4 linked regions of the Drosophila melanogaster genome follow. The gene in region 1 interacts genetically with each later gene. Each region holds a gene or a part of one and is shown on either strand. Other genes may lie near its edges. The genes, in order: Itpr, sl, Pka-R1 and IP3K2.

The links.
Region 2: of Itpr (region 1) and sl, changing one enhances a phenotype caused by changing the other (phenotypic enhancement), as found in Drosophila melanogaster (one study listed by BioGRID).
Region 3: of Itpr (region 1) and Pka-R1, changing one enhances a phenotype caused by changing the other (phenotypic enhancement), as found in Drosophila melanogaster (one study listed by BioGRID).
Region 4: of Itpr (region 1) and IP3K2, changing one suppresses a phenotype caused by changing the other (phenotypic suppression), as found in Drosophila melanogaster (one study listed by BioGRID).

What each region holds. Positions count from the first base shown.
Region 1 is NT_033777.3:5,515,338-5,520,529, reverse strand, and holds the start of Itpr (inositol 1,4,5,-trisphosphate receptor), read right to left. Parts: upstream 3,414-5,192; 5' UTR 2,642-3,413; intron 1-2,641. Other genes in the region: Nmdar1 (NMDA receptor 1), read left to right, coding at 4,142-4,318, 4,390-4,512. UniProt on the Drosophila melanogaster protein: Receptor for inositol 1,4,5-trisphosphate, a second messenger that mediates the release of intracellular calcium. Together with MCU, has a role in oxidative stress-induced ER-mitochondria calcium transfer.
Region 2 is NC_004354.4:16,348,437-16,356,687, reverse strand, and holds sl (small wing), read right to left. Parts: upstream 6,374-8,251; 5' UTR 6,103-6,373; coding exon 4,798-6,102; intron 4,440-4,797; coding exon 3,959-4,439; intron 3,894-3,958; coding exon 3,040-3,893; intron 2,973-3,039; coding exon 1,902-2,972; 3' UTR 206-1,901; downstream 1-205.
Region 3 is NT_037436.4:20,817,172-20,822,323, reverse strand, and holds the start of Pka-R1 (protein kinase, cAMP-dependent, regulatory subunit type 1), read right to left. Parts: upstream 3,360-5,152; 5' UTR 3,290-3,359; coding exon 2,855-3,289; intron 1,994-2,854; exon of another isoform or gene 1,601-1,993; coding exon of another isoform or gene 1,598-1,600; intron 1-1,597. Other genes in the region: Mst77F (Male-specific transcript 77F), read left to right, coding at 4,446-4,727, 4,790-5,152.
Region 4 is NC_004354.4:13,303,326-13,308,714, reverse strand, and holds the start of IP3K2 (inositol 1,4,5-triphosphate kinase 2), read right to left. Parts: upstream 3,201-5,389; 5' UTR 2,836-3,200; coding exon 1,768-2,835; exon of another isoform or gene 711-1,767; intron 1-710.

The sequences.
Region 1 (5,192 bases):
TGTACATAGTATAGTTGATAGTATATATTGAATGTTTGTTCGATACGTTTCATTTGGGAATTTTGCTGCCCTTAACAAAACAGAGTGAGTGAGAGTAACAGCTTTCCTTGGGGAAATTCGGTGCGCTGTTCGTCCATCTGGATGCTGGGAGCTTTGAAACTGTGGGGGTTGATCAAATATTTATGGGGATTAATAGAATATGAGATCAGACGGACGGCGAAGTGAGAGTGAAGTGAGAATCCTTTAAGAACCATTTAACATGAGTAATGAGTAATGCAGGGCACATGTGCTGAGCGCGCCTTTCAACAATTTGGCCATTCATTAAAAGTCTGGGCCCTGTCTGGTGGCTCAAAGCAATTGAAAAGCCAAGAGACCTCGGCCCACCTGAGCAGAAAAAACGTGAAGCACACAGATACTCACACAATCACACCAGACTGGCGCTGATGAGAACACTTTGCTTCTCATCCAGTCTGCTTCATTGATAACACCCGACCTCCGCATCCGAACAAACACACACACACCCTTAATAATTGCAGCCAAGTGGGCTGTGCACATCGGATGGGCGGGGGGCGGGCGCTTATATTTTATTTGCAGCTCCAGAATGTCGCTTACACAATTTGCCTGTTTATGTTAATTGCTGGCGCTCCCAGGCGCCAACCCCGGCCACTTTACCGCCCCCCCTTCCACAAAATCCCCACCAGCTGCTCAATTCAGCTTCGAATTATGCACATGCTCATGGCAAGCCCACATAAATTGGAGCAAACACACGATTGTGGTCAAAAAAATAAGCATACCTGAGAATCTTCAATGTGTTTTATTTATTTAATGTAATATCTTTGTGGTCAGTTTGTTTAAATGGTGACAAGTGGCAAAACTGAACAAATTTGGCTGGTTGGTAAAATTTATTGATTAAAAATCATGCACAAACGTTATCAGTATGTCAAATGCAATTATACGACAACTTTTGGAGAATTATCAACTACAGTTGAGGGATTCTGAGAGAATAACAAAAACAAATTGTGAATTTTTTAACTCTTTATATTAAAATTGATGACATCTGAATCGTGGTTAAAGAGAAAATAGTTGTCAAGTTCCAACTTTTTTTTTTAAATATACATATATAATTGCACAAAAACATAATAATCAAAAAAATTTTAATACTATACCGAACTAGCGTTTAAAAATTAGAATATATATGTACATTTTCTAGCCGGTTGATCAAAGTACCCGCAAATGACATCTCAATTGACTGGTTATCTTCAATAAATGAAACTCACTGCACATACTATCTATTGGTCCCATTGATTGTATAATTTAGTAATTTGTTCGACATTATAATGTGAATATAATTGATCGTAATTGTGTGATCATAGGCCCATTAACCCAATCATGATTACATGCAAATCAAGAAGTAGTGAAGTGCGCTCTTTCAATCGCAACAAAAAAACTTGGCCAGAGAGGAATTTGGCGATGAAAAGCCATTTTTTTACCCCAGGTAATGGAAATCATCGCGTGCAGCAGGCTCAACACGTCCACTTTTCATCCCCCTCCCCCATCTTTTTTGGTATCCCTCATCTTGCCTCTTACTCTATAGCTCGCCACCTGCCCAGTCAACACCAACAACAATGTGGCGCTTAATTAAGCACGCGTCGCCCAGTCAGCATCTCTCTTTCTCTCTCTCCCTTTCGCTCTCTCTCTCTTTTCCGCTGTCTGCAATCAAGATGTGTGCACTGAGAGAAAATATCGGCGCTAAGTTGATTTTCTCGAACGCAGATGCATTCAGTTCAGAGGACGTCAAGTGAGAAATTTCCAAAAGTGATTTGCATAACTTTAGGAACTGACAAAGAAATATTAGGATTAAAAAAATCCAAACTTTTCTCGAAACTGTGGGCGTGACTGTTTTGAACGGTTTGTGGGCGTTAGAGTGGGCGCGGACGTTGTGAATTAAACTTGCACATCTAGATTTTATAGATCCCGAAATCTCGATCTGATCAATAATATATGTATCCGGTATACCCTTTCACTCTACGAGTAAATACGAGTTTTAATTATGACTATGTTACTTCGTCATTATAATTCTTAAACACTCCCATTTGAAGAATTTTTGTATAACAACAAACAATCCCTCTCACCACAAAACAATTTTGGAAAGCATCACGTTCATATACATAGTGGCTTGAGTTGAAATCAACACTTGACTTCGGAGTTGATTCCCTAAGGATTTATTTATATTTTGTTTGAGTAGCTGGCATAGAACCATACCCCCGATAAGCAAATGTCTTCAATCAGTGGGATTTATATGTTTTTTCCTTAGCTTTTCTATTCGTGTAAGCAACAAATAGTGGCCACTGCAACGTAATTGAATCTCAGCGCATTTCTGGCCCTTTCGCTTTGGCTTATTGTCAATTATTGAGCGAAAGCAAGAGGCAAGAACGAAATCAAAATCAAGTGGGATCAAAAGGCGAGGGCGTGACTGCTAGATAATAGCTATCGCGGTAATTAGCCTATCGGTTCGGTCGTGATAGGCTTATTGCCTTATGACCTACTTAAATTGGTGGCAAGCCCTTCGGGAAACCAGAAAAACCAGTAACTGGGCTCGATTGGCAACAGGTTGTCGTTGTCGTTGTCGTGGGATACTCACCGTAGAATGTATGTAATGTAAAATATCCCTTGTAGAGATGTGCTACTGTATTGTGATTGGTATTGAATCATCCGTCGATAGACGACGATCGTAAATCGAATTTGACTTTATATTTATTTTATTCAAATGCAAACACTCGCGGGCACTCGAAAGAACTTAATATATTTTCACCTTGAGTGGGCCGCACTTAGCCGCGGAAAAGAGAGAATAACAATAAGTGGGAATACGGTGAGGAGGAAGAAGAAGGCCCAGAAACCACACACAATAACAATAACAATGCCGGGGCAGCGACGTCGGCAGAGGAGGTTTTGTCAATAAGAAATAACCGTTAAAACACGCGACAAACAATTCCGGCTGCGGGAAAGAGAGGCAGCATGCGATACAACGTCAACAATCGGCTCTCCCGACCCCACGATCCCGTTGACCACCCACAAGCAGCGCAGTCGCAGCGCAGCAGCAGCGCGGGCAAACAAAACGATTGTCGATTTCTACGCACTTTTCCCAATCACGCACACACACCCACACACGCACGTCGCGTTTAGGCCAACAAATTGAAATTGGCCAGCATTTCGGGCATAAATTACGCGCTCAAGGCGTATGAAAATGCAATTTTCCAGAGCGCCGCGTCATGCGCGACTTCGTGTACCGTACCGCTCAGCTCCTCCGTCTCCCTCACTCCAACGAAGTGCCAGCGCAGCGCAGATAAGGCGGACCGACGCGGAAAACCCCAGCGAAAACACGTCCGACTGAAAGCGCGGTCGAGCAACAAGTGTTTAAAAACCGTCGAACCATATGATCGATTAGTGTGACCGCGCGAAAAATACTAGTTAGCCGTTAATAAATGGTGTAATTGACATCTTAACTGTTTTATGCACACATATATAGAATTATTGACAGTAACACGTTAATTGCATTTACTATTGACAAGGAATGACATAAGCAAGTGTTTGAAAACCGCAGAACCAACCATATGATAAATTAGATGGGAGCGCATGGATAAAATACTAACATACTCTAAATACTAGTTAGCATGGCAGCACAGGGTAGAGATTTGAATCTTATTCAAATATTCATAGTTTTTTAGTCATCTGTGCTTGAAAATTCCAGATCAATGTTGATAGATTGGCCGAGGATTAAAATCTTTCCACTCATCGACTCACATACTTAGATTTTGCTTCTAATGCCTATTAACACAATGAAATGGTCACTCTAACGATCTTGCGTTGGTATTCATTTTTTCGCGATCTGGCATTACCACATATGTAAGAAAACACCGCGAATTCAAAGTTCTGCTTTTTCAAAAATGAGCAAAATAAACTTTAAGAAATCTTGTCTTTGACCATTCTCATTGCTGCAATGGGAAATGGAAAATGCCATTAATATGCGGCATCTCCCCTTTTCGACTTGCAGAAAATGCTGGATGTTTGCTCGAGAAACCATTGAAATCGTTGCACAAAACACCTCGTTTATCCTCCCCCAGAAACTATAGACTTCCGCATCATGGCTATGGCTGAGTTTGTTTTTTGCCGGCCATTGTTTGGGCTCGCCATTGTTCTCCTGGTGGCGCCAATTGATGCCGCCCAGAGGCACACTGCCTCGGATAATCCCTCGACGTACAACATTGGCGGCGTACTGAGCAATTCCGACAGCGAGGAGCACTTTAGCACCACAATAAAGGCAAGCCCATTGACTAACTGGATGCTCCACTAATCCGAATGCGATAATCACGCTTTCCCATCCAACCGCAGCACCTCAACTTCGATCAGCAGTATGTGCCGCGGAAGGTCACCTACTACGACAAAACCATCCGCATGGACAAGAATCCCATCAAGACGGTCTTCAATGTGTGCGACAAGCTCATCGAGAATCGGGTAAGTCGGTGGCCAAATGCAATTACCTGCTCATTTCCGACCATTCCTCCATCGCTTGAAGCTGCTCACATACTCGTATCTGTGTTTAACCCGACCTGGTTCGATTCATTTCCATAATTTAAGGGGAAATGATTCGGAAATGGGATGATGACAAGCGGTAATGCGCCAGCAGAATCCAATATCCATGAGCTAACCAACTGGAGCTCTTAGAGCGAAAGAGTGCTTAAATGTGCAAATTGAACTATAATTATACAATATTACTTTAAATGCGTTTTGTTGTTATGAACCAGGTTTGCAGAATGATATATAGAAGGAGTTTGTAGGGGTTTGGTTATTAGAAAGCTAAGATTTATAATCATAATTATCTTTTTAATTATTGATGGTCTTTAGTTGAGCTAAGTGATTTACAATATTGTCTACTATTTGGCAACATTAAAGTATTATCGGTACTTATTTGTCACTTATTCTAAATAAAAATATATAATATTACAAACTGGGTACAAATGTAAAGAACCATTCAAATGAAATAAGTGATTTCATCGCACTGTACTCATGTACAATGAAGGAAATCACAAAACTGGATTCTTGTGCAATAAATTATCGCTGTTATGCACAAAAAGGTGTCCATAAAATCCTAATGACGAAGAGCACTTCGGCACTTAAAGTGCAATGCACCTTTC
Region 2 (8,251 bases), on another chromosome or scaffold:
GACTACGAAAATACGAAGATACCATGAAATAGAAAGGGATAGTCGCTTATTTCATTGTGAGCCGGAAGTTGGAAACGAAAACTCCAAATGCTTCTAATGGGTTGAAACTGTACGTGAGTTTAAGGGTATATAACATAACTACTTCATTCGGTGGCTTCCTCAATTCTCAGAAATCCAACATATAGAAACAACTTTGTATATATATAGACAGCTAACGCCGGATAAACATTTATTTGGCATTAAATAATTATGAATGTATACGTATGGTGTGTGTTTACTGAATTATAAGGCAATTACAAAAACAGTTGAAAATATCTATTAGACGTACAGATACAAATCACTTAAAAACGGAACGTACAAATGAAATACATTTTGGGTACATATACACATACATATATACTAAGCATGATTTGCTAATGCGCTCAAACGCGCAAAATGTCCAAATTAGAACTATTGTGCGAATGGAAACAGCAGAATGTTTGTTAAATAATTAAATGCGAGTGCAAGACAAATGATATCGATCGTTTCAGTGGGGCATTCGTATGGAATGCAAATAGTTTCAGATTAAAATCCTAAATGATTCGCATAGGGAGCACAATTTCCACTTCTTAAATCGACTAGTGCATTTTATGAATATCTAGATATATAAATTATATAATGCATTTAGTAATAATACGTCTATTGAACTTAGGCTTTAGATATTTAGATTTCGCAGTTTAGAGAAGAAGCTAAGTTAGAACTTTGATTTTATAAAAAATAGATATCTTTGAGCTATATTATTATTTTTCAAATATTTGTTATTTTAGCAACAGGTGTACTTCAATAGTTAACGTTCAAACATTTAAAATTTCGATCATTTCGAATTTTAAGGCACGTTCATTTAAATGTAATTGAATAATTACATTTTATTTTAATATTGTTTGCAAACTTTTAGTTTTTGTAACATTAGCTACAACAATCGTGGTTAAATAACATAGACACAATTATGTGGTATATCGTAATTGTTAAACAACTGGAAGACATATGTAATCAAAGTGGTTTAAATTTCCTTTGCCCTTTTTTTTTTATAAATTGTATTATTACTTTAAGCTTTAAAAGAGAAAATAAAAAAGGTAAATGCTAAATGATTGAAATGCTGTTTGAGTATTTGTGCTAAGAGAAAGGTCTAAAATAGTTTTCCAGATAACATATGAAAGTGGTCTATTTTCTTCAGTTAAAAGTCTTTAAGAAGATTGTAATATAATACTTATGAAAAGCTGATCCTGAAACTGAATATCAAATGCCCATTAAATTGATGCCAATTGAGCTGTTTATGAATTGTTTCTATTTCTAATTTTGGAATCAACTTAATGTACTTAACTTTTGATGGTAAAACTGGTAAAATGGAAATAGCTCAAGTTCCCTAAATCGAAATCAAATCAAATCTGGTTTGCTTATGCTTATAATGAGGTGACGAATAGTTAAAACATATTCGTATCATTCTATTCTCCTGAATCAATCTCACGCACAAATACAACATTTAGAGGACAACAGACTTGAATGCTTAGTGTTATGGAAAAGTGTACAAATTATACGGATTACATAAACTTGATTTCAGTTCCAGGAGTTCAGAATTCATTGTTACCATTTGAATACTCATTGTATAGTATGAACTAACCATAACTGCTGATGTGTATAGAAAGTAATCTAAATCTAAATCATACGTTTCAGATCCTAAGCTTTTTAGACAAATTACAAGTGAGAGAATCAGGTTCATAGTTCGATGAAATGTTCTTATGTACAAGTTGTTGATAAATTGCTTTTGCGAATTAAGTTCGCTTTCCTTTTGATCTAGCGCAATTGTTTTCGCAAACACTCGATTTGGAATCATTGATATTGATCCAGCTAACTCAGCAATCCTCTTACGGTGCGGTAACATTTGCTATCTTAATGTTGATCAGCAGGGACGATAATTCCAGCTCCTCGCTGAACTTATTTCGTAGGATGACGCTGCGATAGCCCTGGCGAATGCAGGTCAGCGGATAGCACGCCTGGGCGATGAAGTGCGTCTCGGCGAACATATCCTCGTCCTGCACTTCGAAGCGAAGGATCGCAAACTGTGGATTACGCACGTTAAACTCGCACGATTCATTCCACACCGGATTGAAACCATTTTCATTGACTTTGGTGCGATACTTAACGCCCGTATCAAAGCTAGCGCCAATCAATTCGACCACGATCTGCGGATTGTTCGATTTGCCGCCCCGGAATAGATGACGTGCGGCTATCAGACGTATGCTAACTTTAACTTCGCTTAGGCCATCGCACAGCGGATTGTTCGGATTGAAGCTGTCAGATTTCATGAACGATGGCTTTAAGATATAGCCACATTGTCCATTATTCCGAAACTTGGCCTGATTCAGCTGCATGGCCTTATCGCCTGTCTGATAGTTCAGTGCGATCATCTGGGATCCAACATTCCAGAATGGCATGGGATTAAAATTCGACGAGTCCAGGCGCTGACCCTTCGGATACACTCGGCTAATCTGATTGCGATGGTAGGAGAGAAACAGTTGTGTGTTCTGCTGGAAGAACTGCTTTTCGGCCTTCGTTTCGGGGAAACTCGACATTTCCTGAAATATCCACGAGTGCTCGCGGAACGGCACGCTGCGGAAGTAGATAATCAGATCGGACATCTCCTTGGCCACCCGGGCAGTGCGCTCCTTTTTCCGCCTCTCCGATGCCAGCTGACTGGCGATAAGGGCTGCCTCCTGGATTGCCTTTATCCACTCGTACGCCGTCTCCTGATTGTCGAAGCCAATCACAAACGGATTCTGCATCGTTGGCGTTTGTATCTGCAGCTTGAAAATAATCCCCGGATCGTTGGACTCAAAGAGCGAGGCAACAGCTCCGAAAATCTCAATGGAATCGGTGCGTCCATCCGTGCCCTCTTCGTTCAGCGAATTGTAGTCCTCGGTAGTTGAATCGATAACCTAGACATTGGAATTTTCAAGAGTTGAATATAGTTGAATTTCAAATAAATCTATATATGCATCTCACCTTAACGTAGTTTGCCGGCAGATGCTTCTTGATCATGCCACCATAATCTCCAATCCACCACATCGAGTTGTCCCTCTGGACATTCGTTATGATGGCATGCTTGGGAAAAGAGAGTTCGTCTGGCTTGTTCGCCTTATAGCTGTAGAGCGCCTTGCACGTGACATTCTCCTCCAGATTGGAGCCCATGTAGTTGGAGGCACCGTTGTCATCGTGACCGCCACTATGATCACCCTGTGCCGCCTCCGCTAGCGCCTGACGCAGCAGCTCCTGCGACACCGGATGGCTGAGCTTAACATTGCGATAGAGTGGATTTCGGGTATAATAGTTGATCAGCGAGACCAGAGACTCGAAGTTCATTGTATCGATGCCGTACAAGCGTCCCTCCTGCATAATGCGACAGTGCTTGATCTTTCGATTGATTGTGAACGAAATGACAAAAGCGTTAATGCTCTGCACCGATGGCCGCACTAGAAACGAACCAATTTCCAGCCGGTATAGACCCTGTTCGGCCTGCTCCTTGGTGGTGTTCGGATGGAACCACTCCTGATCCTCGTGCTTTTTCGGCTGCGGAACTGGCTCTTTCAGTATAATCGAAAACTCTGAGCTACGCAGCATATTCTTGCGATAATAAACGATCAGTGAGTACAGTGAATCGAATACAAAATTCTCCACTAGATAGTACTTGATCGATCCATTTTCATGCTTTAACTTGATGCGGCAATGATTCGGGCGATTACGTCGCCAGAACGAAAGGCTATAGTCTCCCACAAACGTGGCCGATTCCCGAACCAAAAATGTACCATCGCCAAAGTGTTTGTACTTCTTTAGTAGATCATCAGCCTCCTTTCTGCCACCTAAAATGCAAATTGTTAACGAAACAAATGGAATATACTGCATATATGTCAACCAATAAACGCACCTTCAAGTTTCCCATGGAACCAATTCTCGCCGAAGTGCAGCTCATCGTTGGCCGAGGTATCCTTTTGCTTTTGCTGCATATTGCTGTTTAGGGAGCACGACGAAGAAAGCCCAAAGTCATCATCCTCGGAGTTTCCGTTGCGTGACTCGTTGATCTCAGAGGAGTAGATTAGCTCCTGATGGGTCAGAACGAACTGATAAAGATTCCAGGACTTATCGACCGGATCCTTGAAGTAGAGCAGTCCCTCCTTGAACACCTTGCGCACATTCTCGCCATCGTTCTCCCCATGCGCTCCACCGCCCGCTCCGCCCAACGATGATCTATGGCCCAGTGAACCCGTGCTAGAAATCCCATTCGCGATGTCGTCAAACTGCGGCAACTTCTTGTGCTTCAGGATTATCTTGCGACGCAACTGGTATGGCGATGGCAAGTGCTGCTCGTTTCGATCACAAGGTTGCGTAAGCAGCATATCCCCGAAAACCTGTAATGGGTCATAAAAGGTATAAGTCAATGGATTTTTATGCGATTAATACTTAAAGCATCAAGAAATATCTAATTACCATCGTCTTGAAATCTAAGTAACTAAAAATATTGCTCTGTTACATTTATAATTAGATTCAAACGAATAAAAAGCGAATTCTTCATATTGTCATACATATTCCCAACTATCGAAATATACAAAATCCATTTCAATTATATATTAAGTTAGGCAATCTCACAGAAAGCCATAAAAGAACTCATTATTACAGCGAATGAATCAAAAAGCAAACATGCAGATCTCCTGTTTGCATGGAATATATAAATTGTTGTTATTAATAGATTCGATTAGGTCAACTTACCTCGATCAAGGCCTGCGCCATATTCCGCTGCTGTTCCAGGGAGCAATTCTGCTCTATGGACAATATTACCGGATACTCGGAACTGGTGAACGCATGATCCTTAATCGTCTTGATGACATCCATGAACTTGATCTTGGAGGTAATGGTGTGGCCGTGAAATATGTAGGGCAGATTGTCGGGCCCGTTCCAACAATCCAACTCGATGCAACGGCAGCCCATGCGAAGAGCGCGGGCGTAGGCCTCGCAGGAGGATTCACTGGAGAACTGATCGCCCGTCAGGTAGGTATTGTGCGACGATGCGATCCAGTAGGAGGACAACGGCAGGTTCATGTCCATGAACACTTGGTCGTACTTGCTGTTCCACAGGTCGTTTTGCTTGGAGAACAGAAAGTCGACGAACTCCGGGAAGGTGAGATACGGCTCCTGAACATCACGTTCCACGTCCTGAACAAAGTCCCGAATGAAGGAGGCAATGGCTGCGCTACTGATCTCACTGGCGCTCACATCGCGCTGTTCCGTCTCGAGGAACTGCTTCAGCTCCGCCGGTCGCACCACCTGTTGGTCCTCCGAATAGGGAAAGTTGGCCACTCCCGATCCGGACAAGACGCTGGCAAATCCGTTGGGCAGCAGCAACTTCTGATATAGCCGCGAGAAATCATCAAACTTGAGATCGTGCTTGCGCCGCACATCCTCGGTAAAGTGCTCCATGAACTTGCCGGTGGTCATCTTACAGCTAACTCCGGCCAAAAAGAGCTTAAAGTCCTTAATGGTCACCTGGGCTGGCGACTGTTCCGTGGCCTTGGCGGAATGCGTGTTAACATTCTCGATTTGATAGTACTCGCGACGCAGCCAGCGATCAATTTGCAAGGGATAGGGTGCTCCCAGTGTGTCCTTAACCATGTAACGCAATCCCCGCACCCAATTGTCGGCCTCGATCTCCGACAGAGCCACCACCGAGAAGCTCTTCAGCTTGAAGTGATTGCCGTGCAGTATGACAAAGCACTTGCTGGACTCGAAGCGCTGACAGTCGTCGGCAAACAGGCGAAACTCCTTCGAGTGCTTGCCCACCCGTATCTCGCGAATCTCCCGCAGCTGTATGGCGCCCTCGTAGTCGGTGCGTGGCGTTTGTGTGGCCACCGTTGCCCAGAGCAGCTGTCGTGTCTCTCGTATGAGCATCAGGTGGCGGCGATCCGGACGACGCTGTTTCCCATACAACTTGGTCACGATGGTGCCGCGCTCCAGCATACCAATGGTCTGCTCCATCTCGCCCAGCAGCGGGGCACTCATCGCACTAAAGCAGCTCATCCTGTCCGGTCCAAACGTGTCGATTCCTATCGAATCCAGTTCTCATCCGCTGGCTGCCACAGGTTGTTTCTCGCCTCGCCAACCGATCGCCAGACTAAGTGCAATGCATACAAACTATGGGTGCCAGCGCGTGGAACTATTCGCAGATCAACTGCTCCCTCTCTTCCAACTGGTCGATGCACAAATCACGGCCACTGGGACTCAATAAACCGAGATTAACAATGCAATATCCGAATTGTACCCAAAAAATACCACAGAAGCAGATAAGATAAGCCAGCTGTTGAGGAAAGTGCCAGTGTTGCCAGGCCGTAATGTGGGTACAGAAAATACTAAATCCACGCAAATGGGGCGTTCACACTGCGGTGTATTTCGAATTGTGAGGAAATAAAAAAATAAATTGACTATTTTATTTAAAAGTTTAGCTTAAAAATTGCTCCATTGTTTACATACTTGAATAACTGAAATATTAAAGTGTGACCAGTTTTATCTTTTGTTTTGAAGTGCGATTCAAAAATTCGTTATGTAAATAGTATTCCTAGTTTTGAATAAAGCAAAACTAAGCATACCAACCAAATCGAAGAAGCTTAAAGCTTTTATTATAACTCACCTTATGTAGATAGGAAAATAAATCCCGACCTGAAGAATTCCTAACTAACTAACTTGAAACCAAACGAACATAAGTTTTCTTGATATTGTATTTAAAATAGATTTACAAATTAATAAGCTTAGGCAATTGACTGATTGTTGTTGTCTGCTTTTCTACCTGTTCACACATGAACACGAATATATTTAAAGACTTACAATTTTGGGCTCCGTTCATATCTTATGTAAATGAATCGAGAGCGATAAATTATATTTAGGATTTTGTTATCTAAGGCGACATGGGTGCATTGCTCAAAAACATGTAATTTAAGTGCACACTACATGAGTCAGTCACTTGAGATCGTTCCCCGCCTCCTAAAATAGTCCCTTAGTGGGAGACCACAGATAAGGTCCTCGCCGCTCAAGATAGGCAGATGTGCCCGAGCGTGGGACCTCGATAAGGCGGGGACTATTTACTTAGGCCTCTGCGTAGGCCATTTACTTTAAGATGCGATTCTCATGTCACCTATTTAAACCGAAGATATTTCCAAATAAAATCAGTTTCTTACAAAAACTCAACGAGTAAAGTCTTCTTATTTGGGATTTTACATTTGGTCAATCGAGCCTTTAATCGACTCTGCAGTTTCCCCCTACCAAAGGTAAGGAACTCAGAGAAAGGCCAGCTCCTTTAAGCATCTTACAGCTAAAGGTAGCAAAAATAAGTGACTCTTGTTTCCCCCTACCAAAGGTAAGGAACAGAGTATAAATATAAAAAGCAAAAGATACAAAAGAATCTTTTATGTTTTAAAACAAGCACCTTATAGTCTATAGCTAAAGGTTGCTTTGTGTACCATTATAAATTGTGGTAAGGCGTGCTTGAGGCCATACATCAGCAATTGTGAAATTAAAAAGTGCATAACAAAAGTGCCTTATAAATGCTCTAATAGCATTAAATCAGCTCATAAATAGAGTGCAGTGTATATGCCATAAGAGCATAAATTAAATAAAAAGTGCCTGAAAACAGTGCCTTATAAATGCTCTAATAGCATTAAATCAGCTCATAAATAGAGTGCAGTGTATATGCCAAAAGAGCATAAATGCCGAAATAAATGGCTAAAAAACAAAAAATCTGACTGGACTACAAAAATAATAAAACGTGCAAAAAAAAAAAAAATCATCTTTAAACATCGACGGAGCCTTAAAGAAGAGAAGGAAGTCAAATTCAAAGGAGCCTCTACCAGCAGCAGAAGCAGCAACAACAGCAGCAGCAGAAGCAGCAACAGCAGTAGCAACAGCAGCAACAACAGCAGCAACAGCAGCAGCAACAACAACGACATCAGCTAAGTCAAAACAAGAATTTTCTGTTTATCCAAACACACATATATATATAAATACATATAAAATACATATACACGTACTATATATATTAAGAAATTACAAAAAATTTTCAAAATGATGTCAGAAAAGACTATTCAATTCCTTAAGAAGCAGTCCGAAATTATTTTGGAAATTAGAAAGTTGGAAGTAAAACCAACATTAACAGATGTAGAAATTCTAAAATTAAATG
Region 3 (5,152 bases), on another chromosome or scaffold:
ATTATTTAGTTTTAAGAGTGGGCAAACGAAAAAAACAAATTTTAAAGGGTGGGCAAACGAAATAATTTATTTTTAAAGGGTGGGCAAACGTTAAAAATGAATTTTAAAGGATGGGCAAACGAAATTATTTAGTTTTAAAAGGAGGGCAATCGAAATTATTTAGTTTTAAGAGTGGGCAAACTAAAAAAACAAATTTTAAAGGGTGGGCAAACGAAATAATTTATTTTTAAAGGGTGGGCAAACGTTAAAAATGAATTTTAAAGGATGGGCAAACGAAATTATTTAGTTTTAAAAGGTGGGCAATCGAAATTATTTAGTTTTAAGAGTGGGCAAACGAAAAAAACAAATTTTAAAGGGTGGGCAAACGAAATAATTTATTTTTAAAGGGTGGGCAAACGTTAAAAATGAATTTTAAAGGATGGGCAAACGAAATTATTTAGTTTTAAAGAGCGCAGGGCAATCGAAATTATTTATTTTTAAATGGTGGGCAAACGTTTTTTATTGGAAATTTTTATTTTAAAGAGGTGGGCTAACGAAATTGGGTGTATTTTAAATGTGGGCAATCGAAAAAAAATTTTTGTTAAAGGTTTTTTAAAGGGTGGGCAAACGATAAAAACTAATAATAATGGTTGGGCAAACCTTTTTTGTTGATAATATTTGGTTTTAAGAGATGGGCAAACGATTTACTCTCTGATTAGACCGAGGTAAACTTAAAAGCCTTATATTTTCTAAAGTATAAATTTTTTCAAAATTCTAAAGGGTGGGCAAACGTGGGCAAACGATGTTATTGCGATTTAAAAAAAAAAATTTTGAAAAAAGCGAAATTTTTGATTTTCGAAAATTTTCGAACTTTTTCGAAAATTCATATCTCAAAAACTGGACGTGGGCAAAAAAAACTAATTGGTGGGCAAACATGGGCAAAAAATGGGCAAACGATTCCAGCTTTCAAATTTCAAAAATTCGATTTTTCCGACCCCAGCTTCTTTGAGCTCATAAATTGCTTTCATCGGACCCACTTAAAAATATCACAGAAATCGTTTTAATGCGATGCGAGTGCATAAAAAGGAAATAAAAGGTAGTAAAATAACAATTTAATCAAGTAAACAGAGCATAATTCGAGGCCATATTTCGGGGAAATTTTTCATTGGAATTGTATGTTAAATGCTTTGCGTTCTGGAAGGAAACAAACAGATTGGATAGAATACGAGTGTTGATTTCATTTAAAATTGTTGATTTTCATTAAAAAAAAATGTTGTCAATTTGTTTTTCCTCAAGGAGACTATTTATATAGCTTGGAAGAAAAATGTATCCAGTTATACCTTGATGGCAATTCGATAATCGGAAAGTAATATTACTATTAACAACTTTGAGTTCTAATAAATATCTAAAAATGAGAATTGTATACCTTTCAATGGGATAATATAGAAATATGAAGGAACGGAAGAAGAATGAATACTTGAATGTTAAAGATTAAGGATTCTTAAGCGTTAATGCAATGGGACCCTTTCTCTTCCTCACTATAAAAACGCTATTGAAACCAATTCTTTCCGAAATATTTACCAAGTTAACCGTATTTAACACTTCGAATTTTACCCACCATTTCGCTGGTCGAGTTCCTGTCACTTCCGCTTTGGCACTTTTCCAACCTCGTTTGGCCAACACAATTGATTGTTGTTTGTCTGTACTTTATGGCGGACACTGGGGACAAAGTGTCCGGCGTAGTTTTTGGCACGATTCCGCTGTTAATCAGAAGCCGGCGTAAACAGCGCCGGACGGAGCGATGACAGCCGTAAAAGCGGCATTAACACGACCGTTAAACCGGACAATTCGATGATCGGAGCAGCGGAATTCGCGTGGCCATCAATCAGGCAAGAAAGTCGAAAAGTAACGACCGCAAAAGGTGAATGGTAACTAGTAAATTGAGCAGTTAAGTTGGCGAAAAAACTAAAATTGGGAACAACGATGGGCAACTGACGGTGGCCAAAAAGTGACTGAGACAAACGAAAGGACGAAAGCAAACTCTAGCAGCCAGACACAAACACAATCTCGACGACGACAGGATGACCTTCACCAACACGCCCAGCGAAGGCAACCTTTCTATATATACACAAATATATACATACAAATACGACTGGCCAAAAAGTAAAGTTTTTCGCACACCCGCCCACCACCTCACACACATACACTCGCACTTGTGACGCAAGTCCTGGCAAAGGGAAAAGCTTTTACGGGAGAAAAGGGCCAGAAGTGCTAAAGGGAAAGCGAAGGGAGCGCTTTGATTTCGTTAGAATTCCCTTCGAGTTTCAAGTGCAAACTCGACATTTTGTCGCAAAAAGCAGCTCGTGGGGCATTATGAAATGCACTTTCTTTAAATTAGTATATAGTTTAGGTTACTATATTCTACTGTATCCCAAAAATTAACCCCTTTCCATTTACCTTTTTGCAAAAAATAAATTTATAATGTTTAAATAAAATGTGAACATTTTCTTCCTGTTCGTTCTTTTTCTTCAGATACGAAAGATATTTTGAAAGAATTAAAAGGCCTTAACGTAAAACATAGCAAACTTTTTCATATTTTATTAAATTTTTATATTCTAAGTAGGGTATTAGGTGCTCGCGGAATAAGGTAAACATTTTTTTGCATGTTTTTATTTGTGTTAGAACTAACGACATCGTGATTTGTAGTCACAAATCGAATCAACAAGACACCAATTTCAAACGATTCAAAGCTTTCTAGTATGCGCACACTCCCACACTTTAAATCTTTTTTCCGCCAAAAGCTTTTCAGCACAAATTCCTAGTGATTTCCTACTGTTTTCCGGAAATTGGAAACTTTTCCGACTTTCCAACTTACTTCGCGTTCCCGCTGGCGCTCAAGCTCAAGTTCCTGTTCACGTTCGCGGGCCAGAGTGGAGAGATGAATCTGCAGGCTGCGATCGCTGACGGCATCCTCCTCGGGAATTGTGGTGCAGGAGGTGCGAACATGCCGCATGCGATGCACTGCATCCAAGCTCAGCCGATGTTCGTGATCATCGCGGAGCAGAGCATCGAACATGGCCACCCCGCCATCGATGCTACTTTCGCGCAGGATGCGTCCGCCGCGTCCACTGCAATGGGGACTCTGCTGCTGATTCTGCTGATGCTGATGATGATGGTGGGTGGTGGCCACCACGCCCTCCGAAAACGAACGGATGCGCATGGCGCCGTTGGCATCGGTGGTCAAAGCCACCGAGCGGAAGCGATCGATGACCGCATCCTGGATGCTGTTCACACTCAACTGGTTGCCCATGGCGCGCGGAGGCAAACAAATAAAAAGCAAACGAACGGAGTGAACTAGGTGGAAGCAGGATGCTTCTGCACGGCGTCAGGATGCTAATCCAACTGACAGCGGGTCCGGCATTCAACAGGCAACTTGCCCCAGAGAGTCCGGCGCACACACACAGGCGTACTCAAAATCAAAGTTGGGAGAAAAAGGGGTAAGGAAAGTCGCTTGGCAAGTGAGAGGGGGAACAGGACGATGTGGAAAGGACCTCCACAGGTGCGCTGCTCTATTTACATTGCAGCATTGCAAGCTTTTGCTGCAGCCTGTCTCACAAAATAAACTTTAAAGCTTCACAATGAACAGAGGGAATACAGTTCTCCGAAGCAGGAAGCCGAAAATAAAGCATCCGTGCTGGGAAATCCACCTATGGATGGGTTTTTTTTTTAACAATCCGCTCGAAAATAGACCGCAAGTTGTATTGATTTTCGTTTAAGCGGCAGCATTAACCAGCAAAATGCCGCTTGTTGCTTACCAAGTGGTTGAAACCCCGGAAAGGAACGTAGTCGCACAGGATAATTTAAACACCTTCCCTCACCAACGACATTTCTGGTATTTCTTACATATTTTGTTCAGATTATAATATAACATTTAGTATTGCTTTTGTAAAATATTTGTTCATTTCATTTCATTGAAAACAAGGAAGTACGCTATTCTATTTCGTGAATATCAGATACGCGTTACTCAGCTAGTCGGATTGCAAACAGAATATTAAAACCTTTTTCAAGACACACGGACGGACGAATATGGCCAGCTCGACTGATACTGATCAAGAAACATTAAACATTTTCTCCTACAATATCTTGAACGAATATAGTATACAAAAATAACCATGGAAATATGGCGCCGATCTGCGAAATGTACTTTGAAAACAGCCAACTTGGTTTGAAAAAAGGAACTTTTTCTTGATCATAGTAGAATTGAGCCTTCATTCAAATCCAATTTCCAGGTCTCCACGCTGAAGCCAGCATACAAACAGTTAGTACACTACCTTTGAACGAGGAACAACTAAAATATTTCGATAAAATTGAGTACAGTTTTTTATACATATATAATTTTTTTTTGTATAATTCTGAGTAACAAATTTGTTTGTGAAAATTTCTGTCGAGCAAGAATTGGTTGCAAAATGAGTAATCTGAAACAAAAGGATAGCAAGCCGGAGGTGGCAGTAACAAAATCAGTGAAAACCTATAAAAAATCAATTGAATATGTTAATTCCGACGCCTCCGACATTGAAGAAGATATCAATAGGGCAGAGGACGAATACGCCTCATCGTCTGGCTTTGTTAATTTTCTGAGGGACTTTAAGAAGCGCTACGGAGAATATTACTCGAATAACGAGATAAGACGGGCTGCTGAAACCCGATGGAACGAAATGTCATTCCGTCATCGATGCCAGTATTCTGCGGTAAGTTAGGTGTCGAATACAAACGAAATGCACATGTATGCAATCGTAATGCACTTCCGCAGGAACCATTGGACACTTTTCATGTAGAGCCCAACAGTGTGAGCAGTCTTCAGCGTTCTAGTGAGGGCGAGCACAGAATGCACTCTGAAATAAGTGGCTGCGCAGACACTTTCTTCGGTGCCGGTGGCTCCAATAGCTGCACTCCAAGAAAGGAGAACAAGTGTTCCAAGCCCAGGGTGCGGAAGAGTTGCCCCAAACCACGGGCGAAAACCTCGAAGCAACGTCGCAGTTGCGGCAAACCGAAGCCCAAGGGCGCCCGACCCCGGAAGGCATGTCCCCGCCCCAGGAAGAAGATGGAATGCGGCAAGGCGAAGGCAAAGCCAAGGTGTCTTAAGCCCAAGAGCTCCAAGCCCAAGTGCTCGATG
Region 4 (5,389 bases), on another chromosome or scaffold:
TGTGAGATACTTTCTTATCAACAGTGTTTTTTGTGCTTATAAACACAATCCCCGGGACTTATAGAGTAATCCCCCAACGACACGAGGGCTCGTGTGTCATATAGACATATATGCGAATCCTAATGGGAACGATGACGTATGCGTGATATCACCCAAAATCGCTTATCACTCATCCCACCGCAAAGAAAAAAAAATAATAATAAAAAAAAAAATAAAAGAAAAAAACAACAACCCGTAAGACAGAGCTTTATACAATTGTGTTAGACTGGCGGATGGGATCATCATAGATATAACCACACTATACAGTAGATAGTATATCGTATTAAGCATATATAAGCCGCATGCCCGTGGCTTAAAAAAAAGTAGAAGAACAACAGGCCATTTCTGGGATGCCTCCAATTATTGCTTTTGTCGGCGGTGAGGGTATATATATACATATATACCATATATTGCTATATGAATGCCAGGCAGATAAACCCGCTTGATAAGCGCGTAACATTATTAACCAAACACACATTGGCACACATACATATACGATCAGACAACATACATATCCATATCTCTTGCATATACACATATGTACATGTATGTATGTATGAGATATCCAGGTGAATTGCTTTATTATCGTTATCATGACTCCGAAAATTCGGTTTCTAATACTTTTATTTGCTTTACAAACTTTTCGCCGTCTGCTGACAACAGCAACAGCAACAAAAGGAATAATAAACCACAAAAAAAAAAAGATGCCATTATATAAACGTAAATATGTGCTGGCTTATATATGTACATAATATTTATCTATAATACAGTATACAGTTAACTAAGATAAGCTCTTTTCCTCGCTATCGCTGCCGTTGTTTTGTTTTGCAGTTCTAGATACGAAAAAAAAAACGAATTAAACCAACGGATCCGAGGTTTTCGTATTTTCGTAGATATATACTTGTTTTTTTTTTTTATCAAGGAACCCCCTATTTTTCAACATCACCACCATCATATCGTTCTCATTCACTCAAAAAAAAAAAAAAAAAAAAAAAAAAAACGATAATTATTATAGCGAACGAAAAGCGAAGAATACAAAAAGACTTCTCCGAGTAACAGAACCTCATTTTAGTGATAAGATAAAATTCTAATTAATTAATAGCCTTTTAAGCAAACGCATACACTGAAAGAAAAGACCTGCATATGCAAGGTGGAAAAACCATTAGCTGATAAGGCGCGGGATTACCGTTCTTGAGCCTATATATCATCTCATCATCTTTAAAACAAGATGAAACTTAGTGGTAATTCGCATTATCAAGTCAGTAGTTCAAGGGATTTTCTTTGTTTTTTTTTTTCTTTTTATATTTAATAGATATGCGTATTGTAAAAGTCTTATTATTATAGTCTTTTTCTATAGTTATAATGGTCTTGCAGTTGATAAACTAAACGGTATAATACTGCTCTAGAGCAAAATAGATTGTTTTTTTTTTTTTTTAATTATGCCACATTTCATCTACGCGTAGCACCCGTTTCTCCCTGTGTATATGCACCAACTTGCTTATCTCTTTCGCTGCCATTCAGACCTGCCCTCATTCACTGCTCTTTTATGCTTTCGATAACAACAACACAAACAATCATTAATGATATTTAAAAACGAAAAAAAAAAAATAGTGTTTAATATTAAATTTACTAGGCTGCTCCACTTTGTTACTTGTCCGTTTTGCCAACCCGAATTCTTTAGTCTAGTTTGAGATTTCCCTGGTTTGTGACGTCATCGCGGGCGCCTACCTTCTTGGATCGATCCCGCTGACGATCACCAAGCTGCGTGGCGGCCATTAGTTCGCTGATCTGCCGCTCCCTCTCACGTTCGCGATCCCCCCGCTCGTAATCCTCCTGAAGCATCTCCTCCGCATCGCGATCATCCTCATCGCGATCCTGCTCATCGCGATCCTCGTCGTCATCCTCCTCCTCCTCCTCCTCGTCGCTGAGACTGCTGCTCTGGGTGCTGCTCTTCCTGGCGAGCGCAACTCGAACTCCATTCACGATGCACTCGCCACCATCGAGGGCAGAAATGGTGGATCCACAATAGTAGAGATTGCTGCAACTGCTTGCTGCACTGACATCCGATTGGCCATCGTCCTTGCCACATCCCGGCGACATTCCCGCCGCTCCCGATCCACCGTGTCCATGTGCGCCATGTCCACCGCTATGACTGTGATGTCCCGCCTCCAGGGAACAACGCCGCTGACCACGCGCCCGCTGCAGACGAAAGTATTCCATTTCCTCCATGCTAATGCCGCAGGCGGTTATGTCATCCGAATAGTCGCTAACCACGACGGATGGTGTGCGCACATAGCGCACGCCCAGCGGCAGTCCACTGACGCCCAGTTCGCTGTACGAGCTCTGGGTGGATTCACGTCGCGATCCCGGTGCGGCTACCACTCGCTCCTCGAGCAGCACCTTGGTGGGCACACCCACGCTCGGATTGCCACCGCCGGTGGGCGATGTCAGTGGCGAATCTGGCAGGGCTGTGGGTTCGGCCAGTGGCAGTAGGGCCGGTCGCAGGGGTAAATCCGTTACGGTCAGTGTCATCCGACGTTGTGGCGGCAACGGCACATCCATGCCGCCATCGTCCACGTCCAGACCCAGGGCGGAATCACTACTGGCACAGCGTGTGACCTTCATTTTGCGCTGCCTCGGCGATAGGCTGTTATCCTCGTTGTCGCTGCTATAGGGACTCAGTCCGCCGCCGGTGACATTACAGCCCTCATCCGAATTGGATGCAGTGGCTCCGGGCAGTGTCTTGGGCTCGCCCTCGTTGCTCAGCTGCTGCTGCTGCTGCTGCTGGACAATCATGGCCTGGAACTGATCGATTAGCTGTTGCACCGGCTTGCCTCGTTCCGTCTTGCAGCTGGGATAAGCACTGCGGTAGTTGGTGGTGCGAGTGATTCTAGTGGTGCTGCTTGTCTCGCTATCGCGGGCTAATCCACCCACTTGATTGCCGAAAAATTGCGCTTTCAACTGCGCCTTGCGTAGGGCCAACTCGGAGATGGATGCCACCTCACATGGATAACCAATGTCACTTCGCTGATTGGATGTGGCCGCAATTGGGTTTGCTCTAGCTCTGACTGTAGCTGCTACTTTGGTTCTGGCTCTGGCTCGGGCACTAGCTCCAATCTGCTCCGCTGTCCGCTGATAACTGAACGCCGTTGCCTCTGCCGTCGTCCATTTATTTTCAATTTTAACCGTTCTCCGCGTTGTCGTCGTTGTTGTTTTTCCAATTGTTGTTGCTTTTGCTGTCGTTTTCGTTTTCGCCCTCGCTGCCGACGCTTTCGACGTCGACGTCGACGTCGTTATCTTTGGCATGACATCGAATTGGAAAGCGGGGGCGTCAGACGTTCGCGAAACCGTTCCCGTACCGCCGTCGCACGCACTCATCTCACATGGATGGATTGGCTGGATCGCGGGTAGAGGTGGGGTGGGTAAAGGTATGTATACACCAGGTTAGCAAAGAGTTGGGACTAATGAAGTAAGTGTGAGATTCGTTAGAACAGCAAAAATGAAATAGGAATATGCAAGAAAGTGTAATGGGATTGGTGATAAGAAAGATGTTGTAAGCAGAAGAAGTTGAAAAAAGTGCAGAAAATGGAAAATGGAAATTCGTACTATTTTCTGTATACTAATTTACTAAGGCTTATATAAAGAATTCAATGGTAAGAGATGGTAAAAAAATAGCTAGAATGGTAAATGTTAGAAGCGAGTGAAAAGTGAAAGGCTGGCGGATAGAACGATAGTAGAAAGCATAAAAACAGTGAAGATTTCCGTTAAGAATGAGTGTGTGAAGATAGTTAAAAGGGAGGATGGGAATAATAAGAAAAAGGATAGTAGAAAGAGAAACTAGTGAAGAGTAGTGGATGATGGTTGGGTAGTGATTGGGAGTGACTGATAAGGAAAGACTCAAAAGTGAAATGGTGCTTATGGTGTTGGAAAACGATCTGTGTGTTCCGTCGAAACGCGCTACTAACGCTGGCGTCGAGGCAAAATCGAGTGGAACTATAGGTGAAAATGCCACTGGAATTCCCGGCAAACATTCTACGTCCGCACTTTCCGAATGGCACCTGTGCGCTGCCGTCGCCGAACTGAAATCGCTTTCTGCGGCTCTGCAGCTCTGCCCGTTTTTTCCAGCGGGCCGGCGGGAGGGGCGAAAAGAATCGAGAAGAGCAGCGTGGGGGGCGGGGGGAGGGGAGTCTCGTGGGGCGAGAATGGGCGAGGGGAGGAGGCTCGAAGAATTGTATAGAAGAATCGTTGAGCCGCGGAGTGGAGTGGCGCATCAACGGAGAGCAGCTGTTGTGGGGGCGGGCGGCCGTTCTGCCGTTCTTATTTACTTGTATTGTTGATAGTTTTCTTCGACAAATTTGCTGTGCCTTACTTAATTTTCGGTTGCTTTTGCCACTGTTCGGTTCTCTCGCAATTGAGATGGATTTTTTGGTGCTACTGCAACTGCCACTGCGTCGGGGTAATTGTAATTGTGATCTTGAAACGTTGACGCAATGTGCAATGATCCCGCACGTACGCACGCACACAACGGTAGCTGCTCCAATTGCCGCGCGTAATTGTAAATTGCATTTGAGCACAGAGCACTGAGCGGGCACAGATACGTCGCACACACACACACACGCGCGAACACACAGAGAGGCGCACGCACACCAGCACACACAGTGACAGACTGACAGGCGATGCGAGCCCAATGCAATAAAGCACTCTGCGAGCACCACTACAAGCGCACAGTCACGCACAATGGGACGAATCGGTGATTTATCGCCAAAAAAAAAAAATGAATTAAAAAAAACCCAGCTGACTAAGAACTTTTCCCGGAAAGCAACTAAAGCACTAACTAGTTTTTCAAGATCAGATTTATGAAGCTTACCGAAACAAAAGGTATAATTAAATTTTGCAGTACAAGCACTTATTAAAAACTAAATTGTATGGTTTAAAACTGGCAGCAGTCTTTAGTAAACAATTACAAGCTGTAAAATTCCCGTTGAAATATGAACAAAATTAAATAGCTCTGCCCATGTTCGTATCGTGTTCATGTTTCTGCTTATAAATAAGTTCCCATCTTGCTTTTTATAGTTAACTATCAGACCAAATGACGCAAATAACATTTTATCGCTTTACACCAACTTTTTGCAAAACACAAAACCAAACGAAATCGACCCCAGATTAAATTCTTCGAAATTAAAACCGAGAACAGTCCGCTATACACAAAAAAAAAATATAAAAAACCAAAAACCATTTACGTACATGACTTACGAAAGACGAAATATGTCAGTACATTTGTATAGCTCAACCGCAAACCAACGACCTACGTCAAAACTGATTGTAGTTGCAGAAATTCCGTAGCAAATTG